3 linked regions of the Stegostoma tigrinum genome follow. Each later gene encodes a partner of the first gene's protein in a complex. Links are inferred from orthologs where the notes say so. Each region holds a gene or a part of one and is shown in the gene's direction. Other genes may lie near its edges.

Region 1 (7,017 bases):
TAACGAAAACAGCCTCAAGTCTCTCAGTCTTTCCTCATAAGACCTTCCCTTCATACCAGGCAACATCCTAGTAAATCTCCTCTGCACCCTTTCCAAAGCTTCCACATCCTTCTTATAATGCGGTGACCAGAACTGTAAACAATACTCCAAGTGCGGCCGCAACAGAGTTTTGTACAGCTGCAGCATAACTTCTTGGTTCCGGAACTCAATCCCTCTATTAATAAAAGCTAAAACACTGTATGCCTTCTTAATAGCCCTGTCAACCTGGGTGGCAACTTTCAAGGATCTGTGTACATATAAATTCTCCCACTGGGAACACACAGCATGGGTTCATGAAGGGTAGGTCATGTTTAACTAATTTGGTGAAATTCTTTGAGGACATTACTTGGATATGGACAATGGGGAGCCTGTGGGTGTGGTGTATCTGGATTTCCGGAAGGCATTTGACAAGGTGCCACACCAAAGGCTGTTGTATAAGATAATGTTGCACAGCATTACAGGTAATGTATTGGCATATAGAGGATTGGTTGACTAGTGGAAAGCAAAGAGTAGGGGTAAAGGCGTGTTTTTCTAGTTGGCGGTCAGTGGCTAGTGGTGTGCCTCAGGGATCAGTGTTGGGACCACAATTGTTTACAATTTACATAGATGATTTAGATTTGGGAACTAAGTGTGGTGTGTCAAAATTTGCAGATGACTGTAAGATGAGTAGTAGAGCAAAGTGTGCAAAAGACTGAAAGTCTACAGAGGGATATAGATAGCCTAAGTGAGTGGGCAAAGGTCTGGCAGATTGAGTACAATGTTGATAAGTGTGAGGTCATCCATTTTGGTAGGAATAACAGCAAAATAGACTATGTTTTAAATGGTAAAACATTGCAGTAGAGGGACTTGGGTGTCCTTGTGCATGAATCGCTAAAAGTAGGATTGCAGGTGCAGCAGGTAATTAAAAAGGCAAATGGAATTTTGTCTGCCATTGCTGGAGGGATGGAGTTTAAAAACAGGGAGGCTATGCTGCAGCTGTATAGGGTCCTGGTGAGGCCACACCTGGAGTACAGTGTGCAGTTTTTGGTCTCCTTACTTGAGAAGAGATATACTAGCACTGGAGGGAGTGTAGAGGAGATTCACTCGGTTGATTCCAGAGTTGAGAGGGTTGGGTCATGACGAGAGGCTGAGCGGGCTGGGGTTATACTCATTGGAATTCAGAAGAATGAGGGGAGATCTTATAGAAACATATAAGATTATGAAGGGAATAGATAAGGTGGAGGCAGGGAGGTTGTTTCCGCTAGCAGGTGAAACTAGGACTAGAAGGCATCGCCTCAAAATAAAGGGAAGCAGATGTAGGACTGAGGTCAGGAGGAACTTCTTCACCCAAAGGGTTGTGAATCTGTGGATTCCATGCCCAGTGAAGCGGTTGAAGCTACCTCACGGAATGTGTTTAAGACAAGGCTAGATAAATTTTTGAACAGTGAAAGAATTAAGGGTTACGGTGTGTGGGCAGGTAAGTGGAGCTGAGTCTCAAAAAGATCAGCCATGATCTTATTGAATGGTGGGGCAGGCTCAAGGGGCCGAATGGCCTACTCCTGTTCCTAGTTCTTATGTTAATAAGCTTCAAAAACCCAGTCAATAACCCACTCAATAACACCCTAAATAATCCATAAAATATATCACTAAATCCCCAAAACCTCCTCAATGACACCCTTAAATAATACATTAAAATAAATCACTAAATAATCCCCAAAAAACCTCCTCGATAACACCCTAAATAATTCTTTAAAATAAATTACTAAATAATCCCCAAAATCCTCAATACCACCCTAAATAAACCATTAAAATAACTCATTAAATAATCCCCAAAAACCCTCCTCATAAACACCCTAAACAAACCATTAAAATCATCCCCCAATCTTCCTCAATAATATCCTCAATAGACCATCAAAATAAATTCCTAAATAATTCCCAAAAACCTCCTGATCTCTACTGAGCTCAAAAAAATCACTGAAAAACACAATGGGTCAGGCATCATCCACAGACAGAGAACAAGCTAATGTTTCAAGTCTGGATGACTCTTCATGAAAGCTGCCAGGAATACATCCAGTAATGGTTTTGTCTTTTGGATTTCAACATTGAATCCTATTGGCTGTAAAGTGCCTAAGTGGAAGCCTGGCTGTTGTTGGTTGAACTTACATTGTGTATCTTTGGAGAAATACAGCAGTCCCAATGCAAATGTTAATATGAGAACCATATGGTTTATTAAAATGGCATGTGACTGGAAGGTTGAAGTTGGAGTCATTCTTATGGACAGAGCAGAAGTGTTCTGCAAAGTGGTCAGCCAGTCTGCAATGCAGAGGAGACTGCATTATGAGCAGCAAATACTGTAGATTAGATTGAAAGAAGTACAAGTAAAATGCTGTTTCACCTGGTTTGTGTATTTGGTGCCTTAAGCAGTGAGGGGGAATGTAAATGGAAGGTAAATACACCTTCTCTGGCTGCACGGGAAGGTGCCATTGGAGAATGAGGAAGAGTTAGGAGTGATCTAGGATTGGGCCAGTATCTAGTGGAGTTCCTGTGGAATGCTGACATGGGAGGTTAAGGAAAGATTTATTTGATGGTGGCATCCTGCTGATGGCTGCAGAAATGGCAGAGGATAATCCTTAGAATTTAGGGACTGGTGGGGTGGAAAGTGAGGTTTAGACGAACCCAATTGTTGTTGTGGAAGGGAGGGGAATAGGTGAGGGCAGACGTGGTAGAGGTGGGTCAGACATGGTTGAATGTTTGAGGGTCGTGTCAAACATGATGGCGTGGAGTATCCTTAGTTGAGCAAAAATATCATATTAGAGGCCTAGTGCAAGGTAATATCATCAGATCAGATGCAGCAGAAACCGCTCAATAATGCCGACTGATGCTTCAGCTTTAATATTGTGTATGATATCAAAGATCCATTGAGGCAGAACAATAACAAAATAGGGCTCTTTTACATTCAGTTTGAAACACGCATACTTAAATTCAAGATAAGGATATTGAGGTTAAATAAAACCAACTACGGTATGTCATGTGTGAGGAACAAATCATGGATCCCTTGAGCACAGAAGCAGGCCATCAAGTCCATACTGATCCTCTGAAGAGCACCCCATCCAAATCCTTTCCCTCTATTGACCATGGCTAATCCACCTACCTTACACTTCTCAGGATACCTGGGCAATTTAGCATGGCCAGTCCAACTAATCTGCACGTCCTTAGACTGTGGGAGGAAACCCACACAGTCAGGAGAGAATGTGCAAACTCCACGCAGACAGTCACCTGAGGCCGGGATTAAATCTAGGTACTTCGTGCTGTGTTTTAGCAGTGGTAACCACGGAGTCAAGGAAGATTGTTTGTGAAAGTGGAATAAATGCTGTGGAATTTGATAAGATGTGACAGCCACTGAAAGAAATGCTTTAAAATTAATAATGAAACTTTATTCAGTGGTAGACGAATTCCCTAGGAAAAGTGACCCATCTGTGGCTGACCAAAATTCAGGATAGTATCAGATTAATTTAGCCAAAGTGTGAAAATTGTTAAGTCCAGGTTCTGGAGCACAAGAATAAGCCTCATTACAATTGGACAGGAAGAGCAGAGGTCCTGCTGTGTGGATTCTTGGTCTTCAAATGTCAAAGGAATGGGATTCGATGGGCCGAAAGACCTCCTCTGTGCTAAATGACACTGAGATTGTTTGTTTGGAGGGAACAAGATGGATGATTTCCTGAAATAAAGTGGCCTGTGTGTGATGAGAATAATGTGGGTCAGAGCTCTCTGCAGTTACAGTCAATGTGAATGTGTTCTTAGTGCAAGAAGGAGGAGCTACTCCATCTATCCTTCAGAGCTATCGACGCCCAACTCCTCTACCTGGCCGTCGGAGCGGTGTTCGATTGCAAAAGGCTGCAGGAGGTGGGAAGGGAACAGATGGACAGACAATGCAACCAGTGGAGAGCAAAGACTGGGAAAGTGGATCTGTGATTGGTGGAGACTGGAGAGGGCGGGACGTGGAACTGAAGCGGTGAAAATGAGGTGAATGAGGGAGAGAGGGAAGGAGAGATGAGGGAGTGAGGAGGAACAGAGAGGGAGAGATGAGGAACAGGGAGGGAGTGAGGAGGAACAGAGAGTGAGGGCTGGAGAGATGAGGGAGTGAGGAGGAACAGGGAGGGAGAGTGTGAGGAGGAACAGGGAGGGAGAGATGAGGAACAGGGAGGGAGGGAGTGATGAGGAACAGGGAGGGAGGGAGTGATGAGGAACAGGGAGGGAGGGAGTGATGAGGAACAGGGAGGGAGAGATGAGGGAGTGAGGAGGAACAGGGAGGGAGAGATGAGGAACAGGGAGGGAGTGAGGAGGAACAGGGAGGGAGAGATGAGGGAGTGAGGAGGAACAGGGAGGGAGGGAGTGAGGAGGAACAGGGAGGGAGGGAGTGAGGAGGAACAGGGAGGGAGGGAGTGAGGAGGAACAGGGAGGGAGGGAGTGAGGAGGAACAGGGAGGGAGGGAGAGATGAGGGAGTGAGGAGGAACAGGGAGGGAGGGAGAGATGAGGGAGTGAGGAGGAACAGGGAGGGAGGGAATGAGGAGGAACAGGGATGGAGGGAGGGAGAGATGAGGGAATGAGGAGGAACAGGGATGGAGGGAGGGAGAGATGAGGGAGTGAGGAGGAACAGGGAGGGAGGGAGAGATGAGGGAGTGAGGAGGAACAGGGAGGGAGGGAGAGATGAGGGAGTGAGGAGGAACAGGGAGGGAGGGAGAGATGAGGGAGTGAGGAGGAACAGGGAGGGAGGGAGAGATGAGGGAGTGAGGAGGAACAGGGAGGGAGAGATGAGGGAGTGAGGAGGAACAGGGAGGGAGGGAGGGAGTGAGGAGGAACAGGGAGGGAGGGAGGGAGTGAGGAGGAACAGGGAGGGAGGGAGTGAGGAGGAACAGGGAGGGAGGGAGTGAGGAGGAACAGGGAGGGAGGGAGAGATGAGGGAGTGAGGAGGAACAGGGAGGGAGGGAGAGATGAGGGAGTGAGGAGGAACAGGGAGGGAGGGAGAGATGAGGGAGTGAGGAGGAACAGGGAGGGAGAGATGAGGGAGTGAGGAGGAACAGGGAGGGAGGGAGGGAGAGATGAGGGAGTGAGGAGGCACAGGGTGGGAGGGAGAGATGAGGGAGTGAGGAGGAACAGGGAGGGAGGGAGAGATGAGGGAGTGAGGAGGAACAGGGAGGGAGGGAGAGATGAGGGAGTGAGGAGGAACAGGGAGGGAGGGACGGACAGATGAGGGAGTGAGGAGGAACAGAGAGGGAGGGACGGAGAGATGAGGGAATGAGGAGGAACAGGGAGGGAGGGAGAGATGAGGGAATGAGGAGGAACAGGGAGGGAGGGAGAGATGAGGGAGTGAGGAGGAACACGGATTGAGAGATGAGGGAGTGAGGAGGAACACGGATTGAGAGATGAGGGAGTGAGGAGGAACACGGATTGAGAAATGAGGGAGTGAGGAGGAACACGGATTGAGAGATGAAGGGGAGAACTGAAGGAACAAGAGGAGTTACAGCAAGAGAGAAGTGGAGCTTCAGGGGATGGGGAGAAATGGGAGCCGGTTCTGCATAAATTGGGGCCCTGGACCCCAGTGAATAATTGCTGAGGTGGTACCTTCACTGCTGACTGAACCCTTTGCCAGTTATATAACCTTCACATCCACGTGTGGCCTGTCTGCAAGGAGATTGTTGTTGAGTTCCATTCCTTTATTCTCAGTCACTTGATACAACAATGTTCTCAAATTCTCAATGTTACAGGTTTTTTGATAAGTTGCTTTCAAGAACGAGATAGACAGATCTCTTAAAGGTAGTGGAATCAAGGGTTATGGGGATAAGGCAGGAACAGGATACTGATTGTGGATGATCAGCCATGATCATAATGAATGGTGGTGCTGGCCCGAAGGGCTGAATGGCCCACTCCAGCACCTATTGTCTATTGTCTGTTGATGTTTCATGTGACATTAACTGAAATACAACTTGGATGCAAATTGGAAATACTTATCGGGATAGTTTAGAACAAGCTTTATTCTCTCTCTAACTGGGTGCTAGCCCTGCCCTGAGGTTTTTTGACTGGGACATTGTTGAGGGACATTTACTTTCTGTTTAAAACAGTAGATAGAGAATTGTTTTGTGTCTAACCCTCTAGTCTTGCATGTGTTTGATGGAGACAATGTAGAGGAAAGTTTCCTTTCAGTTTAAAAGAGAAGATAGCAGGCACTTTAACTCAGAATTTAACCCCATGCTGTGCCTGGGAGTGTTTGATGGAGATAGTTCGAGAGACATTTTACTAGCTGTTTAAAGGAGTAGAGGAAGCGTTATTCTGTTTCTAATCCTGTGATGCCCCTGTCCTTGGAGTGCTTGGAATGTACAGTGTAAAGGGAGCCTCAATTTCCGTTTAAAAGGCTCTGCATCAACCCAATGATGTACCTGTTAAAAGAGCTTTTTAATAGGGGAAGTGTCAGGGGAGCCTTACTTGGTTTACTTTCAGTTTAAAAGAGTAGAGACAGCTTTACTCTTTATTTAACTCTGTGTTGTACCTGCCTTGGGACTGTTTGATGAAGACAGTGTAGAAGATGCTTTACTTTGTGTTTACTAAGCAGAAGAAATTTATTCTGTTATCTAACCCCATGCTGTATGTACTGTCGCTGAGCTTGGAGATGACACAAATTAGGTGGAAGGGTGAGTGATGATTAGATGCTATAGAAGGATGTGGACAAGCTAAATATATGGGTAAAACTTGGAAGATGTAGCTTAATATGGGAAAACATAAGAGAATACATTTTAGCAAGAAAAATAAAAAGGCTGAATGTTACTCAGACGGAGAAGGACAGCAGAAAGCTGTAACACGTGAATATCCTTGTACATATTCATAAAATACTAATTTACAATTTAGTAGGTTATAGGGAAGGCAAATGGTTTGTTGGTCTTTATTCCAAAGGGGATGGAGTATATCAAAATGGAAAGCCTGCTAAAACTGTACAAATAACTAGA
Region 2 (7,494 bases), on another chromosome or scaffold:
AGGCAGGCAGGAAGCCGCCCTGAATCTCAGTTGTGGAGAGACTGAGGACCTTAGGCCTCAGCCACGCTGAGGTTACTGGCCCCCAGCAAGGTGGTCCTGGGCCAGGGTGGGTGCTCCTAATCTGGGTGATTCCATCCTCCAGTGTTGGAAAAGGGTAGCATTGATTATACTGGTGCAATTGAAAGCCACTTTTACCATGTGTTGTCTGTAGCTGTGCCTGAAGCATCGCCACTTTCATGCCACTCTGTGCCACTTACCCTGAGATAGCCATAGTCTATGGGAGAGGGCAGGACAGCCAATCCCATGCTCTGTATCCCATGCTGTAACTTCTCCTCAACCCTGCGGGCTCCAGCCCCTCCCCTGGGGTACTGGCCCAGGCTCCTCCCTGCCCTCAGGTTGCGCCTTCCCTTTGGGCCAAGTTCTTCTCCCTACTCCTTACCTTCAGGCCCACACCTTGCTGCTGCTGACGATGGCTCCTTTTTCTCTTTGCAGTTGAAGAACCTGAGTGGCATTGGGCAGCACCAATGAGCAGCGTGCTGGCCATCATGACCAACAATGTGTGGACCTGGCACCATAGAGATCTTGTCTGAGGCAAGGCTGCAGACTGTGTACATGTCTGTGTGGGTGTGTACACCATGTATACATGAGTGAGTGTGTGGGTGTGTAATGAGTGTGTGTTCAAATAAAGAGCAATCAATGAGAAAACAAATGGTCCTGTAGAGTTCTGTGTAGCCTGCTGTCAGATACCATGATGGATGCATGTGGATAGGGAGGAAGTGTATATATTTTCTTTCATTCATTTGTGGGAAGTGTGCATTGCTGGCTGGGTCAGCATTTATTGCCTGTCGCTAATTGCCCTTGAGAAGGTGGTGTGAGCTGCCTTCTCGAACTGCTGCAGTCCACCTTCTCCTCTATCCATCTTCAGTCCGCCTCCCCGTCTCTCCCTATTTATTTCAGAACCCTCTCCCCCTCCCCCATTGCTGATGAAGGGTCTCGGCCCGAAATGTCAGCTTTTGTGCTCCTAAGATGCTGCTTGGCTTGCTGGGTTCATTCAGCTCCACACTTTGTTATCTCGGATTTTCCAGCATCTGCAGTTCCCATTATCTCTGATCACAACATTGACTTTCCTGCTGCTCTGATGCTGCCTGGCCTGCTGTGTTCCTCCAGTCTCACAGCTATGTCCTTCTAAGGCCCAACCAGCTCAATCGGTAGTACTGCTGCGGCACGGTGGCTCAGTGGTTGGCACTGCAGCCTCACAGCACCAGGGACCCGGGTTCGATTCCAGCCTCAGGTAACTGTGCGGGGTTTGCATGTTCTCCCCATGTCTGCGTGGGTTTCCTCCGGGTGCTTCAGTTTCCTCCCACAGTCCAAAGATGTGCAGGCTAGGTGGATTGGCTATGCTAAATTGCTCCTACTGTACAGGGGTGTGTGGGTTATAGGTGGATGGATCTGTGTGGGATGCTCGAAGGGGGAGTGTGGACTTGTTGGGCCAAAGGACCTGTTTCCACACTGTAGGGAATCTAATCGAAACTACTGTTGGTGGTGGACATTGAAATCATCCATCCAGAGTACATTTTGTGCCCTTGCCATCCTCAGTGCTTCTCCCTAGTGTTGTCAAATGAAGGAGTCCCAATTCATCAGCTGAGAGGACTGTATGTGGTAATCAGCAGGAGGTTTCCTTGCCCATGTTTAACCTAAAGCTATGAGATATCATGGAGTCCAGAGTCAATGTTGAGAACTCCCAGAGCAACTCCCTCCTGACTGTATATCACTGTGCCAACACCTGTCCTGGGTTTGTCCTGCTGATGAGACAGGACATATCCAGGGACGGTGATGGTGGTGTCTGGGATACAGGGGGAGGGGTGTACGTCGACACGGGGGAGAGGTGCATATGGATACAGAGGGAGTGTGCTTATGAATATAATGAAGGATGTATTTGTAGAGTTTCGGATGATGATAAGGTTGTCCAAGCAGGATATCAATTATTTAATATTTGAGTTCAAAAATGGCAGTTGGAGTTTAACCTAGACAAGTGTGAGGTAATAAAAGTGTGGATCTGGAGGAACACAGCAGGTCAGGCAGCATCAGAGGAGCAGGAAAGCTGACTTTTTGGATCAGGACCCTTCTTCAGTGTGAGGTGATGCGTTTTGTGATATCAAATGCAAGATGAGAGTGCGCAGTAAATGGCCAGACCCTTAGGAGCATTGATATAGAGAGGGTCTTGGGATCTGAGTTCACAGTCCCTGAAAGTGGCAACAAGAGTGAATGAGGTGATAAATAAGGCATATGGCATGCTTGCCTTCATTCATTGGGGTATTGAGTATAAGAATTGGCAAGTCGTTCAGTCGTACAAAACTTCAGTGAGGTCAAATTTAGAGTAGTGTGCGCTGTTCTGGTTGCTGCACTATAGGAAGGATGTGGAGGCTTTGAAGAGGGTGTATAAAGAGGTTTACTGGGATGTTGCCTGGATTGGAGTGTATTAGCTATAAGGAGAGATTTGGACTGATTTCACGAGAGCATCCAGAGACTGAGAGGTGACTTGATAGAAGTACATAAAAATGAGAGGCAATGATAAGGGTGGTTCGCCAGAGCTTTTCCACAAGGAAATGTCAGATACAAGGGAGCATAAGTTTAAGGTGCCGGGGGTGGGGCGCAAGAGGGTGGTAGGTACCTGGATGACAGGTAAAAATGGATAAGATAATTTTAAAGAGGCATTTAGAGACATGAGATTAGTTCAGAACGACATCATGGTTGAGAAAGACATGGTGGGCCAAGAGGCCTGTTCCTGTGCTGTGCTAGACTGATGTACTACACAAACATAGTGGCTACAAGAGCAAGTCATAATCTAAAAATCCTGCAGCGTGTAATTTGCTTCCGGACTCCCCATTGCAAGGATGCATGTATCATAGAATCCCTACAATGTGGAAACAGGCTATTCAGCCCAACAAGTCCTTCCAAAGGGTATCCCACTCAGACCCATTCCCCTACTCCTGCATTTCCCATGCCTAACCCACCTAACCTAAACATCCTTGGACACTATTAACAATTTAGCACGGTCAATGCACCTGACACATCTTTGGACTGTGGGAGGAAACCCACGCAGACACAGACAGTCGCCTGAGGCTGGAATCAGTCCTGGGACCCTGGCACTGAGTGGCTGCAGTATTAACGACTGAGCCACAGCCCTTAGTGGAAGGGACATTCAAAGATTTCTCTGTATGACAAATCTCCTGAGCCCTAAATATTCAGCCCCTTATTCTGAGACAGTTTCTCCCTGTGTTCCCACCCACCGAAGCCTGGGAAAATATGCTTCCTGCAGCTACTCCACTGAGTTTTGTAAAAATTTAGTTTGCACTAGTGAGGTTATCTCTTAACCTTCAAAACTCTAGAAAACATCAGCCCAAGTCCTCCATAACTCCTTATAGGTTCATGTCACCATCCTGGGGATCCTCTGCTGTAGTCCCTCAACAGCAAGCATATCCTTAGGTAACAGACCAAACTGGACACAAATCTGGTATGGTCTCACCAAGGAGTGGAATGCCTCATCCTAGGAGCAGATGCGGCTGAGGTGGAGGAATTGGAGGGATGGAATTTTTGCAGGAGGGTGGGTAGGAGGAGGTGTATTCTAGGTAGCTGTGGGAGTCGGTGGGCTTGAAATGGACATCAGTTACAAGCTGGTTGCCTGAGATGGAGACAGAGGTCCAGGAAGGTGAGGGATGTGCTGGAGATGGCCCAGGTGAACTGAAGGTTGGGGTGGAAGGTGTTGGTGAAGTGGATGAACTGTTCAAGCTCCCCTGGGGAGCAAGAGGCGGCGCCGATACAGTCATCAATGTAACGGAGGAAAAGGTGGGGTTTGGGGCCTGTGTAGGTGCGGAAGAGGGACTGTTCCACGTAACCGACGATCCCCCTCATTCTCACACACCACCCCACCAACCTCCAGATAGAACGCATCATCCTCCGACACTTCCGCCATCTACAATCCGACCCCACCATCCAAGACATTTTTCCATCCCCACCCCTGTCTGCTTTCCGGAGAGACCACTCTCTCCGTGACTCCCTTGTCCACTCCACACTCCCCTGCAACCGCAGGAAATGCTACACTTGCTCCCACATCTCCTCCCTCACCCCTACCCCAGGCCCCAAGATGTCTTTCCATATTAAGCAGATGTTCATCTGCCAATGTGGTATACCGTATCCACTGTACCCGGTGCGGCTCCCTCTACATTGGGGAAACCAAGCGGAGGCTTGGGGACCGCTTTGCAGAACACCTCCGCTCGTTTCGCAATAAAAAAAAGAACTGCACCTCCCAGTCGCTAACCATTTTAATTCTCCCTCCCATTCCTCAGTCTAGGCCCGAAACGTCAGCTTTTTGGGTTCCTGAGATCCTGCTGTGTTCATCCAGCCCCACACTTTGTTATCTCGGATTACCACTCCACTACAGCCTGCCGGGACGGTGGGTGGAGCGGCTCCGCGGGGCTTGCTGGGATAGTGGAGGAGTGGTAGCCAGGGAGCTTGTCGGGAAAGTGGAGTAATCCTCCGGGGGAGTGCCGTTAGCAGCGCAATGCCGTATGCGAACCAGCCGACGGTGCGGATCACGGAGCTGTCTGACGAAAATGTGAAATTCGTCGTGGAGAACACCGAGCTCTCGTCAGTGCTTTTTGGGGTGGGTGGGTGGGGGGCGGGGGAAGAGAGAAGGGGCTTTGAGGTGGTGCGGAAGGTGACCCTTCAGCCCTTCTATCCCGTGCTGGGGGCCGGGTGCTGATGGCCCAACCCCACCGTACGAGCAGTGAAGGATCTGGCTAACTCGGATCTGCACTACTTTCTGGGGGTCATCATTTCTTTTAAAAACGAAACCACTCCCTCCAGCTGTGCTCTCACCGAGGCCCCACAGCACATTCCCACTTTTATATTCAAACCCCTTGTAACAAATGCCACCATTCAATCGAGTTTCCTCGTACTTGCTGTATTTGTGCGTGCTAACCCATTGTGGGATTCACAACCTGGAAACTAGATGGCGCTATGTACCTCAGTTCTCCGATCTCTCCCTCGACCTTTAAAAGTAAAATGCTGCTTTTCTATTCTTCCCGTCAAAGGGGAGAAAGTTACACTTTTCATGCACTTGACTCCTAAATCTGCCCATTCACTTAACATATCTGCATCCCATTGTAAACTCTCCACTTCTTGACACTTTATTTTCCGGGCCGTCATTGACAAATTTAGCAGCTGTATATTTGACTATCTCATCCAACCTCTTGATTTAAGTTGTGAGTAGTTCAGTGCCCAGAACTGATCCCTGTGGCACTCCAGTTGTTCAGCTTGCTAAGCTGAAAATGCACCATTTATCTCTGCTGTCTATTATTTAACCAATTGTATCAATGCTGATAGAATGTCTCCCTGTCTACTAAGCTGGTACCTTTTGGAAATACAAATTTATTATATTATTAGTTGTTCTCTATTCATTAGGATGTTATTTCATCAAATAGCTCTAAAAGACCAGTTAAATACAATTTCTTTTTTACAAAACAATGTTGACTCCGATCTTTTGCTACCTCCCCACCTATACTGCCCTCTCCATCTATCTTCTCCTCTATCCATCTTATGTCTGCCTCCTCCTCTCTCCCTATTTATTTCAGAATTCTCTCCCCATCCCCCTTTTCTGATGAAGGGTCTAGGCCAAAAATGTCAGCTTTTGTGCTCCTAAGATGCTGCTTGGCCGGCTGTGTTAATCCAGCTCCACGCTTTGTTATCTTTGACTCTGATCACTCGTTTTTTGAAGTATTTTGCTATAGCCTCCTTACGAGTTGATTGAAGCATCTTCCCTGTGGCGGATGTGACACTGAGCAGCTTGTAGTTTCCTGCTTTCTGTTCCCCTGTGTTCTTAAAGGTAGAGGGGTCGGTTAGTTCATTTGGCTGGATGGTTGGATTGAATTGCAGAGTGTGGCCAACAGCATGGGTTCAATTCCTGCACCAGCTGAGGTTGCCATGAAGGACTCCCCTTCTCATCCTGTCTTCTTGCCTGAGCTATGGTGACCCTCAGTTTAAACCACCAGCAGTTGTCTCTCTCTAATGAAACAGTAGTCCTATCGTCGAGTAAGACGATGGTGACTTTAATTGAATAAAGATTTGCTATTTTCAAAACTGCTGTGATCTTTTCCAAAATCCAGGGAATTTTCTAAAATTATAATGAATCCCCCACTATCTTTGTAATTTCTTTTAAGACAGCGCAACATCGAGGGCCGAAGGGCCTGTTCTACGCAGTATTGTTCTATGTTAGATCCTGGGGACCTTCAAACTTTAGGTCAAATAGTTTTCCCAGCAGCTTTTCCCTGGTGATGGTGATTACTTGAAATTCGTCTCTCTGTATCACCTCTTGATTTTCAGTATCTACACGGAACCCAACATAAAATAGTTGGTAAAAATCTCAGTGATTTCTTTAATTTCCATTTTCAATCCTCCAGATTCACTGTCACAAGAGGACTAATACTATAACTTTTATTCTCTGTTTTTGTTCCCATCTAGCTAGATATCACTCATAGTCTGCTTTCTGCCACTCCACTTAATATTTATGTAATTTTTTAAATTCACTGCTGGCTCTTAAATATCTGTCGACACCTCTGACTTATCACTACTCATTAGAGAATTGTACAGTGACAGCACAGTGCGGAGCTGGAGGAACACAACAGGTCAGGCAGCATCAGAGAAGCAGGAAAGTTAACGTTTCGGGTTCCAATCCAAAATGTCGACTTTCCTGCTCCTCTGATGCTGCCTGACCTGCTATGTTCCTCCAGTTCCACACTGCGTCATCTCTAACTCCAGCAACTGAAGTTCTATCTATCTCTGAGAAAATTATACAGTGCTTCTTTCAGTCGAACACTGACCTTAGTTTACCTATTCACCATCAGTTGATTCATCCTTCTCGAGGAGTCTTTGGATCTCACCGGAATAAATTTTTGCTGAGAGTCATTAAATGTGCCTTTAACAGTCTGCCACTGAGTTTCTATTGTCCTACCTCATAAACTAGTCTCAGTTTAGCCAGCTCTGCTTTCTCAGTCAAATGAATCCCTTTATTTACTTTAAAATCCTAGTTTGAGACACCCGAGCCCTGATAGCTTCACATTGAATATGTAATTCTATGACTGCTTATTACCTACAGTCTTCTTTCTCATAAGATTATGTAGTCATAGAGGTCTACATCAAAGAAAAATACCCATTGGCCCATTGAGTCTGCGCTGGTCAAACACAAATACCCAACTATTCTTACAGAGGTAGTAGGAACTGTCTGTGCTGGAGAATCTGAGATAACAAGGTATAGAGCTGGATCTACCTAGAAGGGTCTCGACCTGAAACATCAACTTTCCTGCTCCTCTGATGCTGCTTGGCCTGCTTTGTTCATCCAGCTCTACACCTTGTAACCTAACTATTCTATTCCCATTTTCCAGCATTTTGCCCATAACCTTGCATGCCTCAGCATTACAAGCGCACAACTAAAAACTT
Region 3 (7,575 bases), on another chromosome or scaffold:
TTCATTCCACTATACAAAAGAAATATCTCCTGTCAGACACGAACAGTGGTACAAATGCAACAAACTACAACGGTCGCTAAGAGATTTACGTACAAATTAAGCTTCCACACAATCTGTCATGGTGCTTACTGTTAGACTGTATCCTAATGTGCAAACTTTCAGAGTTAATTGCAAAACTAGGGTTGATCTGTTAGACCACATGGAGCTCTTGGTTCATCACTTTGGTGCAAATCACCCACCACAATCTTATACCAGACCGCTAGATTGGGAAATAATCCCCAATACGGTTGCTTTTGTCATGCAATATAGAAAGCAATATGTTCTGCTTCCTTACTGCAATCATTTTAAATTATTGTAGAAACATAAGATAAATAAGCATTGCAAAAACTGGAAAGAATATGCTAATATGTAAATGTTACAAATAAAGTTCGTAGAAGACATAATTATGAAAAAGCTCAATTAACAATTTGCAAAGGTATTCAACTTCAACTAGTACTAAATTTGAAGATATAAATCTGCACACAACTTCATTAGTCTTCAAAAGAAAATTGGAAATACATTAAGGATACTAAGTACTGGGCTATGGGAAAGAAAGACAATGTTTTTTTTTGCTATCATTCACTCAGTCAGCTCAGAGACCTCATTCAGTGTTGTTATTGTGACTATAGTCATGTATGTTGGAAATCATAGAACAACGCACAGAAAAATCACTGTCTGCTCTCTCCATGCAAACTCTTCACCAGAGTTAATTACCTCAACCCCCTCCCCTGCTTTTTCCTGAACCCGGCAATTATTTCCCTTTTCAGGCACTAATTACATTTGTGAACCCTAGACAAAGATAAACCGGTTGAATTTTCTGCAGAACATTGCCACTTCACTTATTATATGGAAATTCCTGCCAGGAACTGTTTTGGATAAATATTTTAGTTGACTATTCATCTGAAGCAGCTACAGGTAAATTAAGTGGGGTGTGTCCCTATAGACTTGTCCTCCATTGCAGGATGACGAAAACAGCTTGTGAAATAACTTAGTTACGAATACAGCTTATGAAATACCTGCGTGAATCACAAGCTCCTAACATTCACTTTACTAAATCTGATCATCTTATCTCAGACCCCCAAACTGTAGATCAATGAAAAACTGGGCAAAGTTCTGCTGGGATAGGAGAAGCAGAATGAGGTATTGATACCGGAGGTCTGTTCGCTAATGCCAGTCTACTCAAATCTGACCTTAAGTGTAGGTTAACATGAATATCAGCCACCCAGGTGGGCAAAACAAATAATTTTTCTGGTCGGTAAAGCAATCAACTTTGTTTTGAAAACAGTTAAATAAATTTCTTATGCAAATAAGATTGACATGAAAAATTAATTCCATAAAAAGAAAACACATTCCAGCTACAAAGTAAAATTTTAACCCTTACTATCAACATTACTGAAAATGCTTATTTATCCAAAAATGGCTTTTATTGAATTTGACTATTTCAGGGATAACCAGACTTGCTGGCAGTCACTCAAGCTGTGTGTCTAAGAATCGACCAGATATACAGCAGGTCTGCTGCTATCACAAGCAGCATTCAATCTCCCTGCCCACCTGGGTATAAAACTGGCATCCAGGAAGCAAAAACAGACCTTTGGAGACAAAGCTTTTACATGGGGCAGAATACAGAGGTCAGAGATGAGAGTGGGAAAGAAAGAGCTAGAACAAGTAATTTCACTGATACATATCCAAGGTAAGTTCACCTAAACTGAATGGCTACATTAAAACATCGAGCTTTTATCCTGAAAAAATGATAAATGTCTGAGTATCAGTATCAACACAGGCATAAATCTAACATTAGTAGATAGATGGGCCTTGCCATGTAGCAATGGAAGAAATATAAATAAGGAAGTAGCTTCCAAAAGCAGCGCGTGAACAGACTTCTCATTAATTTAGTGAACTACAATTTGGATGGCGATTCTACTAACACAACACTGACACGATGGAAAATATATTGCATTGCTGGAACTAAAATTATGACCAAAAGTGAAAAAAAGTCCTACGCCATTAGCCCCCTGCTGAGCACGCCCAATCGGAAACACTGGGCGCTATCATAATTTTACACTCTTCTGCTGCCTTACCTGTTTTTCTCCCATTGCCACTCCGTCTCCCTAAGCGATGATGTTGCTGCTGTTGTTGTTGCCGGCGTTGGGTCCCCACGCAGCCTCCCATCAATGATGCCCTTGACCCAGGTGCGTCTCACCCACTAACCGCAAACCCACCTGAAGTCTGGGAGAAACTCGCAGCAAGTCCCCTGGAGCTCATGAATTCATTTTCTTAAAGACTCGCCGTCTATCCCCTCCCAAAAAACGCACACAAAAGAAATCCCACGGTCCACCTTTAAGACCCACCAGTCCGTGCAAAGTTTGGATCCAAGATAATCCCTAACCCACCCCAAAACCCCAGTGCAAACACAGAACTACCCCTCCTCTCTCTCCCAAACCAAGTAACAGCCCGTAACCGGGGCAACCAGTCGGCCCTCACCTACTTTACCTGCTACTGCAAAACTACACCAACATCTCTCATCGCTTCACCAACCTTCCCATCTCAGCCAATAAGGCAGGCTCTCTCGCGCTTTCTCTCCCTCAATGTCACAAAGCAAAAGTTGGTCTAATCTGTGAACATACAATTCTGTCTAGCTTCACTCCATATCTTTCGGAAGCTGAACCAGCAGTGACACTCCACTACCAGCCTTTCCCCACCTGAGCGACGTTACTATCAATGTACACCCACCGGCCCAAAGCGCCTGCGCCGTTGCCTTACCCCGCCCGGTGCACGCTGGGTAACGCTGGCCTCCCACACCTGACGCGCGGCCCACCGCGCACGCGCACGGGCACCTGCCACGCCCCCCCCATCGGCGTACTCTTCCTTAGCAACCGGATGCCAGCCGTTACTAAGGCGACCCCCTGAAACTAGAAATGGGGGAAACTTTACTCTGTGCCATATAATAAGGACCATGGGGTAATCTGGGTAACATCAATTGTTGACTAATTCAGAGCTCCAGTCTAAAATCTTGAGTTCGAGTTTAAAAGATTAAAGCAATTTTGAAAGAATTAAATTTGATCAGGGGTCGCAAGAACTGCAGATGCTGGAGTCAGAGACAATACAGTATGGAGCTGGAGGAACAGATTTCTGATGAAGGGTCTAGGCCCGAAGCGTCAGCTTTTGTGCTCCCAAGATGCTGCTTGGCCTGCTGTGTTCATCCAGCTCCACACTTTGTTATCTTGGATTCTCCAGCATCTGCAGTTCCTATCATCTCAGGAAGAAGATTAGGCTAGTCAACTTCTCAAACCTGCTCTACTATACAATTATATGACAGTTTACCTTATTGTAATCTCAAATCCACATTCCCACCAACCCCAATAACTTTTCATTCCCTTGCTTAAAAAGTACTTGTCAAGGTATTTCTTAAAAATATTCAAAGACGGCATTTTCAGGAACAAAGTTCCATTGTTGCTATACAAATTCAAATAATCATCTCTTTAATTTATTTTTTAAAAATGACGATTTGATCAAATTTACAGACAATACAGTATGGAGCTGGAGGAACACAGGAGGTCAAGCAACATTAGAGGGGCAGGAAACTTTCTGATGAAGGATCTAGGCCCAAAATGTCAGCTTTCCTAAGATGCTGCTTGGCCTGCTGTGTTCATGCAGCTCTATACTTTGTTATCTCTACTCTTCTTCCTGATTTGTACATCATGTGCAGGGTTACATTGTGAAGGCAGAAGGGGAATCGGTTAAATTAAATACACATAGGAACTGCTGGAGAACCCCAGAAGGTTTGACAGCATCAGTGGAGACAGAAACATGGCTAATATTTTAAATACAGTGACTCTTTAAGGAACTAAAGAAGGAAGGAGTGGGTTTTATTCTGTTGCTGGGGTTGGGTTGGTGGGTTAAGGCAACCACAGGGGCAGGTCAGGGAAAGGTTAAGAAGATTTGAGACCAAAATTAGTATGGAACAAAATGCAAAATTTTTATTAATAGGCCAAATGGCCTCCTTTATCCTTTCATGGGATGTTGAGCATCACTGGTATTGCCTTTTTAAGAAGAAAACTGACAGTTCACCACATCATTGTGGCTCACATTTAGGTCAAATCAGGTAAGGATAACACATTTCCTTCTCTTTTGGATAACCCTTGTAGCAATATTTCCATTACACCACCACCTCCCTCTTCTGCATTGTAATTATTCTGTGATTTGAGTATTGTTGAAAAAAAAATCAACTTTGACAAAAGAAGAATTTTTATACTACTTCATGTCTGCTTTTTCAACAATACTGAAGCTTTGGACAGCCAAATAACTGCGTGAGTCCGTTAAAAATGTTTTATCTTCTACATTGAATTCAGTCTCTGTTCCCTTTGACTAACAGAATTAAAATCAAAGCTGTCAAGTGAAGGAGTTTCTCTGTGTAGTCTGCAGAGTAATGAGCATGTGATCTGTGCCATTTGCGGTCACGTGACATCCAGCTCGTGGCGCATGCGCGGTTGAGTGCAGCAGCATGGCCGCCGACATGAGGCTGTTAGGGCTGGTGGAGGAGTTTGTGAGTGGGTTGCAGGACGGGGCTGCCAAGGACCTAGCTACAGGTAGGAATGGAAGTGAATGGTGCTGTGTACAGCTATTGTTGTCTGGGAGGACGAGCTGCTGATGGAGGGGTCCCGGGCGAGGAAGTGGCGCCGCCCGTCTGGCCGTGTCACCCTGGTAACGGCGCACGGACCCCAGTTTCCTGACTGGAATCTGTATCTCTTCTGCGCTCGACAGCCCTCACGTAGGCCTCCCCTAGCTTTTCAGGAATCTGTTCAAGTAATAAGCTGAGTATTGAGCAATTCCCTAGGCAAAAAAATTTCAGTTTAAGGTTTGTCTGAAAAATGGCCAGTGTAATGTTTCAGCACTGCCAGAGTTTCTCGAGTTGACCATCAATTTTGGGAGGTTGGCATCTCTGAGCTAATGTTGAAGCCTAGAGATCTAAACTTTATATAGGATATAAAACTGTCTGACTCTTCTTTTGATCTTAACTCCAATTTAGTGTTTATTTACATGTAAGAACATTAAAAAATGCACGTGACCATACAAACCTTTGAGCCTTCACCACCATTCAGTAAGACTTTCTACCCTAACTCCATCCAACAGTACACCCCCCCGCCATGTTTATCTTTATTTTTTTTAGTATCCAAAAATCAATATTTCTCTGTTTTCAATAAAGCCAATTCTTAGAGCATCTTCTAATTTCTGAAATGGCCTACCCTTTATTCTGATAACAGTGATTCCCTTGGGGGAAACATCCTCCCAGAATATACCCTGTAAAACTCTTCAAGAACTTCAGGGTTCCAATAAGATTTTTCATTTTTTTAAACCCCAAAAAACATGGGCCAAGTTTACTGTATCTCTCCTCTTTGGACATTTTCCTCACTCCAGAAATCACATTTAATAAATCTTTGTTGCACTCCCTTGAATACAGATATATCTTTCGTTGAATAAGGAGACAGAATTGCCCTCACTGGTAACCTAGTGACAGTAATTTTGGGTTTTTAATATCTAAATGGATTGAGGCTCTCTTCTCTAAGTTTTTTTTGATTGTGATAAAGCAATGTCCTGATCCCATATTTCAGGCTGCATCTAAGTATGCAAGCTGATTCTTTCAAAGCCAGGTGGATAAAATTAGTTTTACTGAAATTCTGTTTTCTACATTTGACCCCATGATCCTTCCAGAATGTGTTCTTCTATGTTCCTTTGGACTCAGTACTGCAGTCCTTAATGCAGAATGGCCATGTTTAGAACCAGATTCTGAGGAACTGTTAATTTAGGGGAGCAAACTTTATTGGGAAAACAGAGAAAATTGGAGAGGAAAATAAACATTTGTCACTTTGAATGAGAAGCATTTAACAATTTTATAACCGTTCTTGCAATTTAGCTAGAAATACTAAAAATGGCATTTTTAAAATTTGTCTATTGGTAGTGAATTCATTTATTTGTTTTCGCTGACTTTCCCCATTATTCTCATTGAAAAAAAAAGCTATTATGTCAGATGGGTTATCGGTTTCAAAGTGTCAAATTACCTTTCATTAAAATTGATTGCAGGAACTTGATGCTTCTGGATCCAGCAAAACAGTCAATGATAGATAAGACCTTTGAATTCCAAATAATGGCATGCTTTACTGGAATTTCACAGATAGCAGTAATGTGGTATTGATTTGAAAATTATTGATTCACTTAACTTTCCTTGTGGCTGGGAGTTTAGGGCTCTTAAACACCGCATCCACCAGTGATTTCTGCCTTGGGGCAGCAATCTATTCTTAATGTTGCACTGATGTATGTTGCACTTCTTAAAAATGTGGATGTTATGAAATCTCAATTAAATAATAACGTTTGCGATTAGTAATATATACAGGATGGAGAAACTTAGATTACAAATTGGAAAAAAAACTTTCCCTTGTCACAGTCATCGTCATACCACACAGAAACAGACCATTCAGCCCAACCAGTCCATGCTGACCCTAGTCCCACCCGCTTGCGATTAGTCCATATCCGTCTTATTCATGGACTTATCTAAATGTCCTTTAAATATTGTAATTTTACCTACATCCATGAATTTCTCTGGCAGTTCATTCCAAACAAGAATAGCTCTCGGTGCCAAAAATGTTGCCCCTCTTTTTTTCTTAAACAATCTTTCTCCTCTCAGCAAAAGATATCCCCCCCCACTCCTTGTCTTGAAATCCCCCATCTCAAGGGAAAGACACCTACCATCACCTTTATGATTTTATAAGCTCCGATAAGGTCAACCCTCAACCACCTATGCTCCAGTAGAAACAGGGGTCCCAGCTTCTCCTTATAACTCACATGCTCCATTCCTGCTGAACTTTTTCTGACCTCTCTCTGGCTTAATAATATCCTTCCTATGACAAGGCAACCTGGACTGGACGCAGCACTCCAGAAGATGCCTCGCTTAACGCTCCCTCGTTATTTTGCCAGATCAAAAAAGTTTTGACAATGTAATTTTGCTTTTTTGTGAGCATTTCTTCTGTTGTTTGACTCTTGGCAGTGCTCCTACAAGAAGTTTGGAAGAAGAGTTATATTCAACTCAAAGTATTAGCTCCGTTCCATATTCCACAAATGCTGCCTGACCTGATTATTTTATATATTTGTTTTTTATTTCAAATTTATACCATTTGTAACAATATAGAATCCCTAGAGTGTGGGAACAGGCCATTCAGCTCAATGAGTCCACACCAACTCAGAAAGGAGCATTCCACCCAGATTCACCCCTCATCCCTGCACCCCCATCACCAATCCACCTAATTTAGCCACCCCTGGACACTATGGGTAATTTCGTATGGCCAATTCACCTGACCTGGACATCTCTAGACTGTGGGAGGAAACCCATGCAGACATGGAGTGTGCAAACTCCACACAGAGTTCCTCGGGGCTGGAATTAAACATGGGTCCCTGGTGCTGTGAAGCAGCAGTGCCAACCACTGAGCCACCCTGCCACCCTATTTCTGCAAGTCTTGTCTTTTCAAACTATAGTTCCAGGTTTAC

Evidence for each region.
Region 2: ercc2 (region 1) and polr2c share a complex: the UniProt entries of both Homo sapiens proteins name them as parts of the TBP-based Pol II pre-initiation complex. The link is inferred for Stegostoma tigrinum from reciprocal best matches to the Homo sapiens genes ERCC2 and POLR2C.
Region 3: ercc2 (region 1) and mms19 share a complex: the UniProt entries of both Homo sapiens proteins name them as parts of the MMXD complex. The link is inferred for Stegostoma tigrinum from reciprocal best matches to the Homo sapiens genes ERCC2 and MMS19.

Annotation. Positions count from the first base shown.
Region 1 is NC_081392.1:21,347,485-21,354,501, forward strand, and holds the start of ercc2 (general transcription and DNA repair factor IIH helicase subunit XPD), read left to right. Parts: upstream 1-3,948; 5' UTR 3,949-4,036; coding exon 4,037-4,041; intron 4,042-5,382; exon of another isoform or gene 5,383-5,717; intron 5,718-7,017. UniProt on the Homo sapiens protein: ATP-dependent 5'-3' DNA helicase. Component of the general transcription and DNA repair factor IIH (TFIIH) core complex, not absolutely essential for minimal transcription in vitro.
Region 2 is NW_026728366.1:52,538-60,031, reverse strand, and holds the start of polr2c (DNA-directed RNA polymerase II subunit RPB3), read left to right. Parts: upstream 1-4,488; 5' UTR 4,489-4,561; coding exon 4,562-4,647; exon of another isoform or gene 4,648-4,663; intron 4,664-7,494. UniProt on the Homo sapiens protein: Core component of RNA polymerase II (Pol II), a DNA-dependent RNA polymerase which synthesizes mRNA precursors and many functional non-coding RNAs using the four ribonucleoside triphosphates as substrates.
Region 3 is NC_081373.1:12,315,612-12,323,186, forward strand, and holds the start of mms19 (MMS19 nucleotide excision repair protein homolog), read left to right. Parts: upstream 1-4,521; 5' UTR 4,522-4,540; coding exon 4,541-4,625; intron 4,626-7,575. Other genes in the region: ubtd1b (ubiquitin domain-containing protein 1), read right to left, coding at 2,118-2,208. UniProt on the Homo sapiens protein: Key component of the cytosolic iron-sulfur protein assembly (CIA) complex, a multiprotein complex that mediates the incorporation of iron-sulfur cluster into apoproteins specifically involved in DNA metabolism and genomic integrity.